Oryctolagus cuniculus: one gene and its partners. The protein of the gene in region 2 interacts with the protein of the main gene of each other region in a pairwise test. Links are inferred from orthologs where the notes say so. Each region holds a gene or a part of one and is shown on either strand. Other genes may lie near its edges.

Region 1 (3,563 bases), on a different chromosome or scaffold from region 2:
TGGGGGCGGAGCGAGGGCACCTACATGCAAGGCTGGGGTGGGGTGGGAGGCGACCCGGGGCCCGACTCCCCCTCCTCGCTCGTGGCAGCGGAGGTGGGGGGGGGGGGCTGTCCCAGGCTGGGCCGGGCCGTGGAGAACATTCTTTCTCCCATGGACTCTACGGAGAGCCCCGGGAACCGCCCTTGGGCTCAGAGCGGGGTGGCAGGACCACCCCTCGCCTCTGGGCTCATATAGCCAGCTCCAGGGGGCGCCCTTGCCCACCCGGGCGCCTCCCAGCCTGGATCAGCACCTGGTGTCAAGAAAGGGCCGGAGCCCAGGCCGGGAAAGGGGTGGGGTTGGAGGGGCGGAGTCTGGGGAGTTGGGGTCGGGGGGCGAGCCCACGGGTCTACACCCCATCATCCTTAGGAGCTGGTCCTCCGGACTCCTTGGGGGAGCTCCGGCCGAGCAGAGGGCGTGTGCTGGGGAGGGGTCCCCCTAGGAAGGGCGGGGGCGGGGGCCGGGCCCCTGCAGAACTGTGTGCTGGTTGCTTTGTTGGGGCTGGGGGATTGGGCTCCGTCCCCGGAGGGCCGGGGCGGGGGCGGGGAGGCAGTGCCGCCGCATCCTCGCTTCCTGTCCGCTGCGGGCAGAGTCCCGTTCGCGTGTTTCTCTCTGCTCGGCTGTTGGTGCACAGCTCCGCCGAGATCCTTCCGAGGGCTCTCCGAGGACTGGGGCTGCTTCTGGGGCCCGCGGGCGTCCCCGGGCTGGAGGAGAGAAGGGCTGAGTGGCTGACGACTCTTTAATTTTTGCTTTTCGGTGGGGCTGGGCTGGGCTGGGCTGTGGGGGATTTTTTTTTTCCATGTCTCAAAATTTCTTCTCCCCCCCTTTTGAGGAACCTCTTCATTTTGTTGTTTCTTTTTTTTTTTTTAAATCGATCTTATCAGAGGAACCAGGACTACAACGAGATCAAAAGGAAGGGGAAAAAAAAAAGGCAATATTGAGAACAGCCCAGGCAGGCTCCACCCACTCCCGCCGGCCCCCTCAAGGTCCAGGGCGCTCCAGGAGGAGGAAGCGCACCCCCCTCCTATGGGAATTCTCCCGACCCTGCCCACCCTCCCCGTGTTAGGGTCCAGCTGGCCTTCCCGTGGGCACTGTGCCCAGCGGGTGGGACCCCCGTGGCTGTCGCTGGCACAGCCCTGGGCCCTGGCCGTGTCTCCGACTGTTTGGGTTTTTGTGCGGGTCCTGGAGGGTGGGGAGAATGCTAGGCTGGGGCCTTTGTACCCAGAAGCGTTTAGGGAGTGGCGGGGTGGGGGGGGGCTGGCCTAGCTTCTTGCTACGTTTTCTTTCTGTCTCTTTGGATTAAAGGCAGAAATTCCCGTCTGTGCACCCCGCCAAAGTCCCACAGGCTGAAAGACGGGGGGGGGGAGGATGGGGAGGTGGAGGGGGCAACCACATGGCTTCAGTCCCTAGCAGCGCCAGGCTTGGGGGAGGGGCCGGAGCCCACCTCCTGCAATCTACCCTAGGCGCACCAGACGCCGGGGAAGAACCGCAGGTTCCCCGGGGTGTGTGTCTCTGTCTTCTCCCAGAACGCCAGCAGGGGGCACCACCTTCCCACAGACAGGGCTTTGTCTGGGAGCGCATACCCAGGGCAGAGGGAGAGGGGCTGGGCTGTTTGGCTCCTGCCCCACCTTGTGGCCAAAGGGTGTGTGGGGGGGTGGCTTCTCCAAGCAGGTGCACCTAGCGCTGCCCCTGAGGACGCAATGGAGACCTCTCCCTGGCCCTGAGTTGGAGGCTGACTTCCATATAGCATGCCGCAGGTACTGACTCATTCCTCCCTTGCCCCCAGGCCACACAGAAACCAGGCTCTGAGAGGGTGGGTGACCTGCCAGAGGCCACACAGCCCTCCCAGGACAGAAGCAGAACTCAAGCTCAAGCTGACAGTGAGGAATCCACAGCTGCTAACCGAGGCCGGAGGCTGTGCCTGGGGGCGACCCAGGGCTGCCACCAGGGCTGTTGGCGCTGGGGTGGGGCCTGAGGTGGCTACAGCCACACAGTGTCCTGAGAAACCGGAAAATTTCCCATCTTAAAAACACTGTCCATCAGTTTATGTCTGCAGGCGGGACCTGCCCCACTCTGGCCCCGCTGTGTGGCGGGGGTGCTGAGTTGGAGAATGGGCAGGGGCCTGGATCCCTGGGGACTTTGCTGCAATGGTGGCCACGCGCTCTGTCTGTCTGTCTGTCTGTCCAGGGCTGCTGCTAGTCCCCCAGTGGCTTCCAAGACCCTGGAAGCCGAGTAGGGTGACGGGCGGACTCCATTTTTCTGTTGTCAGTTTGACTTAAATTTGGTCGGGTGTGGCAGGTGGCCGCCACTCTGGACCGCGGTGGTGGTGGGGGATCTGGAACTGCCACAGAAAAAAGCTCTATGGCCTACCCCACAACGGGACAAGGACCACCCGCCAGACCTGCCCTCGCTTTGTGCGGTCCCCTCCAGCACCTGCCACGGGACCCAACCTCAGCCACTGACAAAGGGCAGCCGGAGAGCCAGGCCCAAGGCTTCACAGAACAGGGGGAAAGGGCCGGGGCGGCTGGATCTACTTGGGGGGCATGGCCAGGCCAGGAGCCAGCCTGGGTGAGGCGCCCCCGCCCTCCCCCAAAATCGGGCCTTGGGGTTTTCTGTGACTTGCTACCTTAGGGGAGACTACAGGGGAGCCTTGCACCATGGCTCCCACAGGTGTGGGGGGAGGCTATGGCTTTGGCTGTGACCAGGACAAATCATGGCAGGGCCCCAAGCCTGCCCCTTCAGGGTCCTCTGAGCTGCCGGGCGTGGGGACTGCGCCAGCTTGTAGAGGGGGGGCGGGCTGGCCCCCCCCAGGAGAGGAAGACCCCAGGGACAAAGGCAGCTTCAAGGGGGCTCCCCGGCACCCGCCTCGGGTCCCGGGAATGGGATCTGCTGCCAAGCCTGGAGCTGCCTTTTTTTTTTTGCTCACCCCTTCCTCCCCGCCTCCTGATTAAAACTAAGTAAAAAAGCGCTACCCAGGGAAAGACAAAATTGCTAAAATTCTCTTTTCTTCCCTCATTCTATTGTTCTCTCTCCATCTGGCGCTGGAGAGATCAGCTAAAGTCACTGGTTACTGTGGAAACCACCCCCCGACTGTAGCCCTGTGCCCGCACCGCGTCCGCCTGCCCCCCCAGGCCTGAGGGCTCCCCCCAGCCCCGGGCCCCAGACACACCTGCCTGCTTTGGGGACCTGGACCTGGGCCTGCACTCCTCTTGCCCACCTGGGCCCCCTGCCCTAGACTGGGGGGTGGGGAGGGACACAGTGGAGGTGAGAAGCTGTTTCCCCAACTTGCCTCAAACTCTGACTTGGCCCCAAAACATCCAAGTAAAAAGTGAGTGGGGGGGGGCGGGAGAGAAGGAGGTGAACGGGGAAGACTCTGCAGCCAGAGAGCCTCAGGCCCCAGCAGCCGTGGAGGCCCCGGAGGGAGGAAGGGAGGGAGGGAGGGAGGGAGGAAGGGAGGGAGCAGTGGAGCCCGCTGCCGGTGCCAGCCCAGAGCCAGGAGGGGCGGCCGCCTGCTGTCCCCTCCTCTG
Region 2 (3,563 bases):
CAAATAAATAAATAAATAATTTCTTAAAAAAAGGAAAAGAAAAAAAAAAGCCAGGTACCTGGCAAAGCCCCCAGTTTCTGATTCAGTTATTCTGTTTAGGGGTCCAAGAATTTGTATTTAAAAAAAGGAAAAAATAAATAAATAAATAAATAAATGAGAACTACCTTTTATTTTTTTAAAGATTTATTTGTTTATTTATTTAATGGGGGGAGGTGTAGAGGGGGAAGAAGAAAGAGGGGCAAAGAGGAGGAGGGGAAAAAGAGGGAGAGGGAGAGCCAGGGCTGGGCCAGGCCAAAGCCAGGAACGCAATCTGGGCCTCCCAAGTGGGTGGCAGGGATTCAAGCACTTGGGCCATCATCTGCTGTTTTCCCAGGTACATGAACAGGAAGCTAAGCTAGAAGCAGAAGAGCGAGGATGTGAACCAGGCGTTGCACAATGGGATACAGGCATCCAAGCAGAGGTGTACCCTGCTGTGCCACAATACCTGCACCAGAGAACTTGCTCATTTTAACACCGAATGGGAACACAGTTCCAACCTGTTTCTGTGAAGATCAGTTTCCTACCTTCTGAATACACAGGAAAATATAGTACAGCACATCTGGGTCATAGGGTTCACCTTCTCCGTTTCTAGCTTCCCGGGTCATTAAACATAGCCCGTAATTCAATTCAGCCACAGCAGAGGAGATGAGATCTTCCTGAAACCGCAGCAACTGGCGCCCTGTAACATAAGTCCCAGAGGTGAACAGGAGGCCTGACAATAATGATCTTTTTGCTAGTTGCTCACATTCCTGAAGAAAGGGCTTAGAACAGATATTGCTCATTATGGTACTGGGACAGAAAAGATCACCAGCATCTGAGATGAGAACGAGCCTACCAAGGCAGTAATCACATATGCTCTATTACACCAAGGGTTTCCTTCCCACAATCCTCACCTCCACTTATCCCAAAAGCTATTATCAGGACCAAGAAACAAAAGCAGGACAAAACAGAATCTATCCGCTGTGATGTGTGCAAGGATATGAACTTAATGACAAAAAAAGATGGGTTTTGAGACTACTCACTGGTTCCTTTTCACTCCAAAAAGACACTCTGTCCTGGCATGGTAGGCTAACTTCAGAAAATCACAAGCACAAAAATGCCTGGCCTGGGGCACACTCGCAAATCCTGCTTGTCTGGCAGGGTCAGGCCTGCTTGTTGCTACTGTATAAATTCAGCACTTTTTCAGATAGTTCTCGAGTCCCTACAGCAAGAGGATACCACTTTCCTACTGTTCTGTCCTCATGTGACTTTAATAGCACCATTATTTTACACACAGCTCACCCCCCTCTCTCCCAAAAACTCACTCCCGATAGGTGCCAATCTGTTCTGAGCATCCTTCTCCAGCTCAGCATTCTTGGTCTGGGCCCAGTTTTTCCATACTTCAAGCCCTTCTTCTGGCTTCAAAGAATTTGGAAGTAGAAGTTCAGGGGAAGGCTGTGGCTGTGACTGTGGTTCAACTTCTGCAACCTGCACAGTTTGAGCCTATGAAGAGAAACCATCAAAACACGTCAACATTGTTTTACAGTAGTCCTTCTACAAAGAAAAAATGTTATTTATTGTTCATGTAATTAAAAACAAAGGAACATAAAACCTCTCTTCTTGCTGTCTTATTGCAACCCCAGGACAGCAAAAGCAGCACTACAACTGGGCTAGTATGACGTAGCTCAGCACTCACTGCACTTTTGAGAGGCAAAGAAAGAAGCAAAGACGGAGATCACACATCCACTGTGTATTTGCCAAATGCAGGCAATGGCCAAGACAGGGAGACAGGAATTCAATCTAGGTCTCCCATGTAGATGGCAGAACCCAATTACCTGAGTTATCACTGCTGCCTCTCAGGGTCTGCATTTGCAGAAGCCCACAGTCTGGCAACATAGCTGGGAATGGAACTCAGGAACTCCAATATGGAATGACAGCATCATAACTAGCGGGCTAAACAACCAAACCAACTACACATTTAAATCTCTTATTTAAAAACAGCAATATTTAAGTATAAACCAGAATCTCTCTCTAGGGGGAACCTAGTATTTAGTCTTTTTAAAACTCCCTAAGTAAAATGGTAAATTTAATGTTTAGTCTCCACTGCTTCTCAAAGCAGTGCATTTCAAATTTAATGTGTACACAAATCACTTGGATATGTTCCTGAAAAAATGCTGAGATTGAAAGGGTCTAAGGTGGGGTTGGCACTGTAGAGGAGACGCTAAAGCTGCCACTTGCAGTGTCATATGGGTGCCACATCTCATATGGGCGCCAATTCAAGTCCCAGCTGCTCCACTTCTGATCCAGCTCTCTGCTATGGCCTGGGAAAGCGCAGAATATGGCCCAAATCCTTGGACCCCTGCACTGGCGTGGCAGACCTGGAAGAAGCTGCAGGCTCCTGGCTCCTGATCAGCCCAACTCTGGCCACTGCTGCCATCTGGGGAGTAAACCAGCGGATGGAGGACCTCTTTCCTTCTCACTGCTTCTGCCTGTCTGTAACTCTGCCTTTCAAATAAATAAGTAAATATTGGGAAAAAAAAAAAAGTGAAGGGTTTTGGGGCCACAGCTCTGGTTTCCTTAAAAAAAGGGAGGTCTAAGGTGGGATCTGAGATCCTGTGTTTGTACCAGACTCACCTGATAAAGTCTGTGGACTACAGACTTTATCACAGGTCAAGAGCAGTGATTTTTAAATCTGGTTGCACTTTAAAATAATCTGGACTGGAGCCAGCGCTGTGGCATACCGGGTAAAGCCACAGCCTGCAGTGCCAGCATCCCATATAAGTGACAGCTAATTCACTTCTGATCCAGCTCTCTGCTATAGCCTGGGAAAGCAGTGGAAGATGGCCCAAGTCCTTGGGCCCTGAACCCATATGGGAGACACGGAAGAAGCTCCTGGCTCCGGATAGGCGCAGCTCGGGTTGTTGTGGCCAACTGCAGTGAACCAGTGGATGGAAGACCTCTCACCTCTCTCTCTCTGTGTAACTCTTTCAAATAAATAAATAAATCTTTAAAAATAAAATAAAATAATCTGGACTGTATTTAAGAAATACTAATCTCTGAGCTTTATTCCCAGAGACTGTAATTTAATTGGCTTAAGGAAATTAGTATTCAAAAAGCTTCCCAGATGATTTTTTTTTAAGCTTTATTTATTTGGAAGGCAGAGTTAGAGAGAGGCAGAGAAAGAGACAAAAGAGAGAAGTCTGAAGGCTAAGCCATGTAGACAAGGACAGATAATGTCCATGATCCTCAATCCTAATTCCCAAAGGGCTAGACAGACACCAAGTACAGAATCTTGGGTCTCACACACCTATCCTACATTCTCTGAAAATCCCTTGAGCAATCCCCGACGCCAAGACCTATACTTCCTTCACCCAAAGGGCTGAAGAATGCCAAAATTCATTCAAATGAAGGCACAGAGATGATCCACAAATTTGTATGCCAACAAATAAAAATAAAAACAAACTTATTAGCTTTAATAATATACGTTATTAAAGACATAAAAAGCAATACAGTGTTTCTGTTATTAAGTATCAACACCTAAGAAA
Region 3 (4,090 bases), on a different chromosome or scaffold from region 2:
GCCCCTGTTTCCTGATCTGTGATGAAGGGGAGTCATGGAGTCTGTGCCAGTTATAGACGCAAGGCGACATCAACACGTTTGTGGCGAAATGGAGTTAAAGGACACGCTTACTCTGCGGAAAAAGCTTTGGAAATCCAGGCCTGGCTCTTTCATCCCAGGCGTGGGAGGCCGCCCGTGGTGTCACGGCCCAGCCCATCCCACGAGAGGACAGGGTGAGGGGCCCGTGTCTCCCTGCTCTGTCGGCCTAGCCTGGCCTCTGCATTCAACTGTCTCTGTTGAAACATCCAGGCGGCTTTCTGTGTCCCTGGCCTGGGCCCTGGCAGCGGGGGCAGGGTGAGCGTCCTCCTGGGAGCTGGGATAGGAGCACTTTCCATAAACACAGGCCCCGAGCGCAGCTTCCCCAAGCCCCCAGCCCCAACTCACCGGACACCTCCACGTAGCCGTCCTTGGTTTTCACCATCAGCTCCTCGGGCTTGAAGCTGTGCACATTGACACACACTTTCCAGGGTTCCCCGGGGAATGGTGGAGGGCTCCTGCCCTCGGCGGGCACCCCAAACCTGGCCGCAGCGTTGGGCCCCCGGGGCACTATGCCCGACCTCAGGGTCCCGGGCCACGGGGACGAGAGCCGAGGCAGCGCCCAGTCCGGCCACGAGGCGGTGAGGTCGTCGGCGAAGGGGTCCATGCCAAAGCCATCGTCCAGCAGGCGGGAGGACAGGGACGAGTCCCGGAAGGGGTCTCGGCGCAGGCGGCTCGGGTAGTGGCAGGAGAACGGCATCTGCCCGTCAGCCATGGCGGCTACTGAGCTCAGAGGGGAAACCGAGGCTCAGGGTGAAGGCACCACCTGCCCAAGGTCACGCAGCTGAGCTGGGCTTCCCGGCTTATCTTCAGCTTCAGGAAAATGCCAGTCTTCAGTCAGGGAGAAGCAGGACCATCCACGGCCACGGCGGCTCGTGCACACCAGGCTGGGGTCCCAGCCCCGAAAGGTGCTCCCTGGCTGAGCCCAGTGGAATTCCCCCTACCAGGGACCCGGAGATCAGCAAGCCACGGTCCTCCCGAAGCTGCCCAGGCGCGCAGCCAGAACCACCGAGCTCGAGAGTGGAGCCAGGGGCTTAATAAACTGGGGAACACACGCCTAGAAACTTCTCCTGGCTTCTGGGCTGGGAGCCTGCTATTTATTCGCTGCTGGGGGTTGGGGGTGGAGCCGCAGGCGCCTCCTGTCACCGGAGTATTCGGAGGTGATGAAGCAGCCCCAGAGAATCCGCCTAGGGGACAGCTGGGCTCCGCACCGGCCCGGGGGAGGCTGGGGGAGGCTGGGAGGGGCCTCTCCGGATGTTCTCTCCTCCCAGGCGCGGCGCTCGGCTCCGCCCTCCCGCTGCCTCCCCCGCCCCGCCCCGGCAGGGCTCAGCCGCCTGGCTATTAATAACCCTCTGCCCTGCTGAGGGTTCAGGTCACCCTCTGGAAATACCTTCCCCGAGCCTGTGGCTGCAGGCGTCCCCGTCGGCACCTGCAGAAGGGGAGGAGAGAGGGAGGCCGGATAACCGGTGGGCTTGGAGGCGGATGGCTCTGGGTTGTCTTTGGAATAGAGTGGCAAAGGGAAAGAAAAACAAAACAAAGCTGTGTAAATCTCTACGTAGACTAGGATTCCAGCGGCACTCCAGTGGGGAGGACTTTATGGGGGGGGCGGCTCTGGCGGTAGGTGCAGGGGCCGCATGCTGTGCAGTGGAGGAGAAAGATTGCAGGGCCCCGGAAACACCGGAATCCCAGAGGGAGGATCAAGGAGAGGGCCAGGGGGTGGAACACTGCCGGGAGGAACTTCTAAGTCCAAGGGATTCTGGCTAAACCAACCGGACGAGAGATTCTGGCTTAGAGTCAGGCCAGGCTGGGATCAGATCCCACCTAGGGGGTGGGGTGGGGCTGGAGAAAGGGTTGGGTGTCAAGGGTGGGTCTTGTTGCTTAACTGACTTAGGCGGTTCTTTGCTGAAATCGGATTTTACGAAAAACTGCGCAGATGCACCCAAAAGAAGGCTCAGGAACGTGGCTACGGGTTGGCCAAGCCATGAGCCTGGCAATTGAAGTCTAAAGCATTAGCGTGCCCCTCGGCACCTGTGAGCCGGCTGCTTTCCCACCTGTAAAGTGGGCGCGAGAGCAGCCTGCTCCTGGATGTGTCCGAGGAGCGGCTGGGGCAGGTGATTCTCGCCCAGCGTTTAGGACACCCATCGGCACTTTCGTTCTTCCAGTTTTGTTACCAGTGACGCCAACGCTTGCTCTGTGCCGGCCCCCGTCCCAGGTACTTCGCAAATACTAACTCAATGGATTCTCCGCCCACATTTTGTAAGGCAAGGAAAGTGCCGCAGGCCGTGTTATCGAATGACAGTGTCCCTTAGGATTGCACAATTATTGCAAAGTTCTGTGCCCAGGCAGGACGTCTGCCCTGAGCCCAGGAAGAATTGCATTTTCCAGGCTTCTCCGCGGCTCCTGTGCGGCTGGAAGAACCAATTTACAAACCTTCCTTGGAGGCCGGCGCCGTGGCTCACTAGGCTAATCCTCTGCCTTGCGGCGCCGGCACACCAGGTTCTAGTCCCGGTCGAGGCGCCGGATTCTGTCCCAGTTGCCCCTCTTCCAAACCAGCTCTCTGCTGTGGCCAGGGAGTGCAGTGGAGGATGGCCCAAGTGCTTGGGCCCTGCACCCCATGGGAGACCAGGAGAAGCACCTGGCTCCTGGCTTCGGATCAGCGCGGTGCGCCGGCTGCAGCGGCCATTGGTGGGTGAACCAAAGGCAAAAGGAAGACCTTTCTTTCTGTCTCTCTCTCTCTCACTGTCCACTCTGTCAAAAAAAAAAAAAAAAAATCCTTGGGCTTAAAAACAACAACAAAACCCCCTGGGCTTAGGTTCCTCTTCCTCTTTGATCGGTCCCCAACAGGTGGCAGAGGTCTTTTCCTCTGCCTTCTTCGTGGGGTGGGGGTGTTCAGAAACTCAGTGAGTCACAGGTCGAGAAACGGTTGGATGTTAAGCGGTGTCTGCTTAGGCAGTTTGCTAAAAATAACAATCCATAGACCCATCACCGTGGTTTACTGCCTCCCTGGCCCCGCCGCTGAGGGGAGCGAGGTGTGGGGCGGGTCTGCGGAGTCTGCGTCAGACCCTCCCTCCTGCTTCCTTGTGGTCCATGCCCCCTGCAGACCCTTGCCTCTTACCCTTGGCTGTGGGGCTGCAGGACCTGGGCCAGTGGGACTTGGGTCGCCCTGACTCCCAGCTCTGTCGCTGAGCTGCCGGATCCTAATGGAGACCCCCAGCCTCCTCCCGCAACAAGAAGGGGAGGCAAGCCCCAGGCCGGCGGGCAGCGCTCCGAGTGACTGGGCCCCCACTTGATACGGGGTGAGCTCATCAGCCTAGCAGCTTCAGGCTGACGTCACTGCCTCGGCTCTCTCTGTAATTACAGCTGGGCAGGGCCAGCTGACTTTGAAGCCAGTTATGGGGAGAATTGGGAGTCATCAGCCCTACCAGGGACCTGGGCGAGACTGGGGTGCGGTTTCTGAGTGGGGGGGGTCTGGGTGGGAGTGGCTTGGCATAGAGCAAGGCTGGGAGTGGATTCGGGTGGGAGCAGTGGGAGTGTGAGTGTGTGTTCAGGGTCAGGGCTGTGTTTATGGAAGGGTGGGTCTTCTGGAAATACTGCTTCCCCTCCCCCTCCCTTCTGCAAGCCCCAATGGAAGCTTCCAGAAAGCCCCTCTGCCTAGAACAAGGCACAGCTGGAACGAGGAGAACAGATAAGACGGAAGCCTGGCCAGGGAGCGGGAAGGGAACCGGATGACCTAACCCCCCTCCCCATGTCGAGGCCGCAGGGAGGTGGGTGTTGTGGCACAGTGGGTTAAGCCACGGCCTGTGAAGCTGCTTAGCATCCCACGTGAGCACTGGTTGGAGTCCCAGCTTCTCCATTCCTTATTCAGCTCCTTGCCAATGCACCTGGGAAAGCAGTGGAAGATGGCCCAAGTGTTTGGGTCCCTGCACCCACATGGGAGACCCAGATGGAGCTCCCGCCCCGTGATCCTCCCCTGCTTCCCGGTGTCTGCTCCTGGGGCTCTTGTTACATTTCTGGG
Region 4 (3,563 bases), on a different chromosome or scaffold from region 2:
AAGCTCTTGAATTGATGCATTCAGATTGTCATACTGACAGTACTAAGGCAAATGGATTCAAGGGAATTAAGACCGGAGTTGCAAGACCAGCCAAAAACCTTTTCGGTAGTTTAGGTGAAAGGTGAATGTGGCTGTTAGCTTCTGAAATGAAGAAGAAAGAGTCCATGGGAAACATGATGAGAATATCCATGGTACTTACCATTCAGAGACGGGTTGGGAGAAGGTGGCAAAGGAGTGGTTGAGGATAGCACCTGAGGTTCTCTTCTGGGCACCTGGCTGTTGGCTGAGGTGGAAGACGCTGGGGAAAGCAAGCTTTGGGGGAAGGTGGTGAGGGTCAGTGTTCGGAGCTCTGGTTGATAATGGGTGATGCCTGGGAGAGAGTCATCTTCCAGAACAGATGCCTGAGAATCGGCCTGTAAATCCAGACGGCTTTACACTTCTTGTCAGGAGTAGGAGGAGCAGGCATCCTCAAGTCTGTCCAAAAGGGCAGCACCTTGGCCCTGGGAGGGCCCTGGGAAAGCTGGCGTCGGCGAGGCTGAGGAGAAAATGTTCTGGAGAGAAAGGTGTGGCAGGTGCCGAGCGGCGCAGACTGGCAGCAGGCCCTTAGTCAGCAGCGAGCCGCTTGTCGCTGTGGAAAGTCAGTTCCGCAGGACCGGTACGCAAGAGGTAAGGAAACAGACAGTTGACCTGAAGAAGTTTGTTTATGAAGGGAGGACTGAGGCCGGTGGGTCCAGGGGAAGCAGCAAGGGAGAATGTTTTGTTGTGTTTTAAGATGGAATAGATATGACCTTGTTTTAAAATGCTACAAGAATGGGGCCGCTAGAGGAGAGTGAAGGTGTATAGGAGAGGATACAAAGTGGAGAACCAGACAGGTGCACATGTGCTTAGTGGTCACACACATGCGCACATAGCCTTGCACACGCCACGTGTAAGCACTTCCGTAATGCTCACCCTCTCCTCTGCACAGATGTGACTGCTTGGTCATCTCCCACAAATGTATTTCCTAATAGGGACCTGGCAGCTGTCACTTGTGACTTAGCCTGAGGCTGTAGATCCTTGCTAACCTGGGAAGGAACATCATAGGCACGAGTCTTCTCTTTGAGGGACTTCAGTACCAGGCAGACAATCCTGAGAGTGGTCTCAGAAGAAGATACATCTGTGTGTATTGAGGTGTTGGGGGAGGGGGAGCTGGATCTCATTTGCATTTTAAAAAAAGAAAAACAGGTAGGTGGTGGTTGGATATGAATGCGTTCATTATGATTATGTGTGCAGACAGAATACTCAAACTTACAACAGGTTGTTTCTGTGGAAAGGGTCTGTGAGAGCTGCAGGCAAACTTACAACACGAAGTAGTTGTACAAGTATACAGAATAAAAAGTGATTTTTCTTTTTTTACCATGTACATTTATTGTTTTTATGTAAAACAAGATTAATGTCCAGGAACAGGTGGTACTGTCTGCATGAAAAGTGAAAGCAGGAATGGCAGTAAAGCCTAGGCCACCCATCCAGATTCTTAAACCAAGGCAAAAAGAGAGGGTTTGCGGACTAGTCAGCCTGGTCTTCCGTTCTTGGGTAAACCATGTGGTGGTTCTCTGTGGATCTGTCACGTTGGGTATTCATTATCAGCAGAAAGCTGGGAAGATGATTGGTTGGCATTGACCTGCCTTCTCCTAGAAGAAAATGCATTGGGAGCCTTTAAGGGATTCTGTCTTTTTCCCCCTTTAGAAGAGAAATGTTTATCACTGCAACAAATGCCGGCTGCAGTTTCTCTTTGCCAAGGACAAAATTGAACACAAGCTTCAGCACCATAAAACCTTCCGTAAACCCAAGCAGCTGGAAGGTTTGAAGCCAGGCACCAAGGTACTGCTTGCCAGGGTTTCTTAGGCAGACCGGGAGTTTCGGTGTTGTGCGGCTGGTTGTGGGTGGGATCTGATTGTTCCTTCCTTTGACACTCAGGTGACCATCCGGGCTTCCCGCGGGCAGCCACGAACCGTGCCTGTGTCCTCCAGCGATACGCCTCCCAGCACGCTGCAGGAGGCGACCCCACTGACCTCCTCCACGGACCCTCTGCCTGTCTTCCTTTATCCCCCTGTCCAGCGCAACATCCAGAAGAGAGCTGTTAGGAAAATGTCAGCGCCTTCTTCTCAGTGCTGGGCGGGTGGGGCCTGTGGGCATGCCTAGTGCTGGGAGCAGTGCGGTCATGTAGCCTGTCAGCAAGGTCTGCTTAATAAGCGACAACTTGGGGATCCCTGAGGGAATAATGAGAATTTTCTTTTCTTTTCTTTCTTTTTTTCTTTTTGCAGGAGCGTCATGGGCCGGCAGACTTGTCTGGAGTGCAGTTTTGAGATCCCAGATTTCCCCAATCATTTCCCTACTTACGTACACTGCTCTCTGTGTCGCTACAGCACCTGCTGCTCCCGAGCATACGCTAACCACATGATCAAGTAAGTTGGGATTAAGCCGGCGTTTCTCTTCGGGAGTTCAGATTCTATAGAACTGACTTCATTCCCTCTCCTCCTAGCCTGTTTTCCTCCTTCAACTTTTGTAGCTGTTTGTCCATCTCTCCTGGCATGGTGAGAGGTCGGGTCCCTCTGTGTGCACCAGGGACCAGCAGTGTTAGCTGGGAGCTTGTTGGGAACACAGTCTGAACCCGACCATAGGCCTGTCGAGTCTAAGAGTGTGCGTTTGACTAGATCCTTGGGTAATTCATGTGCAGACTGAAGTTGCAGAAGCATGGTACAAAGGAAAGCTGGCCTGGGGAGAGAGGGGCTGAGGAGGTGTTGTCTCTTGTGTAAGGCGTTGCCTCTGGCTGGTGATGTCAAGTCAGCCAGCGAACCCCATAACTCAGACCACTTCTTTATCTTCCTCAGCAATCATGTTCCACGGAAGAGCCCCAAATACTTGGCTTTGTTTAAAAATTCCATGAGGTAAGTAAAAACTTACCTGTATGCTTAATTTTTCAAGTTTTTACATTAAATCCCTTCATTATTTTGGTGCATGGCTACGTGACTTAATTAGAGAGGAGAAAGTTTCGCTTTGGACACGCCATTGTGTCTGTCTCACTGTGCTCTTGACTCTTCCTCAGTGGAATCAAGCTGGCCTGCACTGCTTGTACCTTTGTTACCTCCGTGGGAGATGCCATGGCCAAGCATTTGGTGTTCAACCCCTCTCACAGATCCAGCAGCATCCTGCCGCGGGGTGAGTCCGGGGCTGAGGTCAGTCAGGAGAGGGGAACAAGAGACAGGCCATCAGCAGCTGGGCGTCAGGCCCCGCTCCCGGCCTGTGGACGCGGTGCGCTGATGAGAAGCGGTCTCTAACCTCAGGTGTTTGACACGAGCCTGGGAAGGGTGGTCACTGGAGAGCATGTTGTGTGCGTTGGTGGCCCAGAGCACTCGTCTGTGGAGGGCTCCTCTCCTCACTGAGCTAACGTTTCCCTGTCTCCTTCTCCGTAGGACTCACTTGGCTCTCTCACTCAAGGTAACAAGCTCTCACTTCATGATTTCCCATTTGGCAGTGTGTTTACATTATTACCACCGCTACCTGGACCCTTTTTCACGGAGCTT

What was found.
Region 1: the proteins of QRICH1 (region 2) and NFIX interact in binary tests that used the Homo sapiens proteins (3 or more experiments, as listed by UniProt). The two-hybrid records come from large-scale screens. The link is inferred for Oryctolagus cuniculus from reciprocal best matches to the Homo sapiens genes QRICH1 and NFIX.
Region 3: the proteins of QRICH1 (region 2) and HSPB8 interact in binary tests that used the Homo sapiens proteins (3 or more experiments, as listed by UniProt). The two-hybrid records come from large-scale screens. The link is inferred for Oryctolagus cuniculus from reciprocal best matches to the Homo sapiens genes QRICH1 and HSPB8.
Region 4: the proteins of QRICH1 (region 2) and POGZ interact in binary tests that used the Homo sapiens proteins (3 or more experiments, as listed by UniProt). The two-hybrid records come from large-scale screens. The link is inferred for Oryctolagus cuniculus from reciprocal best matches to the Homo sapiens genes QRICH1 and POGZ.

What each region holds. Positions count from the first base shown.
Region 1 is NC_091447.1:62,511,897-62,515,459, reverse strand, and holds part of NFIX (nuclear factor 1 X-type), read right to left. Parts: intron 1,017-3,563; exon of another isoform or gene 932-1,016; coding exon of another isoform or gene 917-931; exon of another isoform or gene 741-916; coding exon 402-740; 3' UTR 1-401.
Region 2 is NC_091441.1:100,112,894-100,116,456, reverse strand, and holds part of QRICH1 (transcriptional regulator QRICH1), read right to left. Parts: intron 1,522-3,563; coding exon 1,344-1,521; intron 719-1,343; coding exon 564-718; intron 1-563. UniProt on the Homo sapiens protein: Transcriptional regulator that acts as a mediator of the integrated stress response (ISR) through transcriptional control of protein homeostasis under conditions of ER stress.
Region 3 is NC_091452.1:15,305,260-15,309,349, reverse strand, and holds the start of HSPB8 (heat shock protein beta-8), read right to left. Parts: upstream 2,846-4,090; 5' UTR 791-2,845; coding exon 424-790; intron 1-423. UniProt on the Homo sapiens protein: Involved in the chaperone-assisted selective autophagy (CASA), a crucial process for protein quality control, particularly in mechanical strained cells and tissues such as muscle. Displays temperature-dependent chaperone activity.
Region 4 is NC_091438.1:46,681,040-46,684,602, forward strand, and holds part of POGZ (pogo transposable element with ZNF domain), read left to right. Parts: intron 1-1,725; coding exon 1,726-1,860; intron 1,861-1,956; coding exon 1,957-2,129; intron 2,130-2,303; coding exon 2,304-2,444; intron 2,445-2,870; coding exon 2,871-2,927; intron 2,928-3,085; coding exon 3,086-3,198; intron 3,199-3,452; coding exon 3,453-3,477; intron 3,478-3,563. UniProt on the Homo sapiens protein: Plays a role in mitotic cell cycle progression and is involved in kinetochore assembly and mitotic sister chromatid cohesion.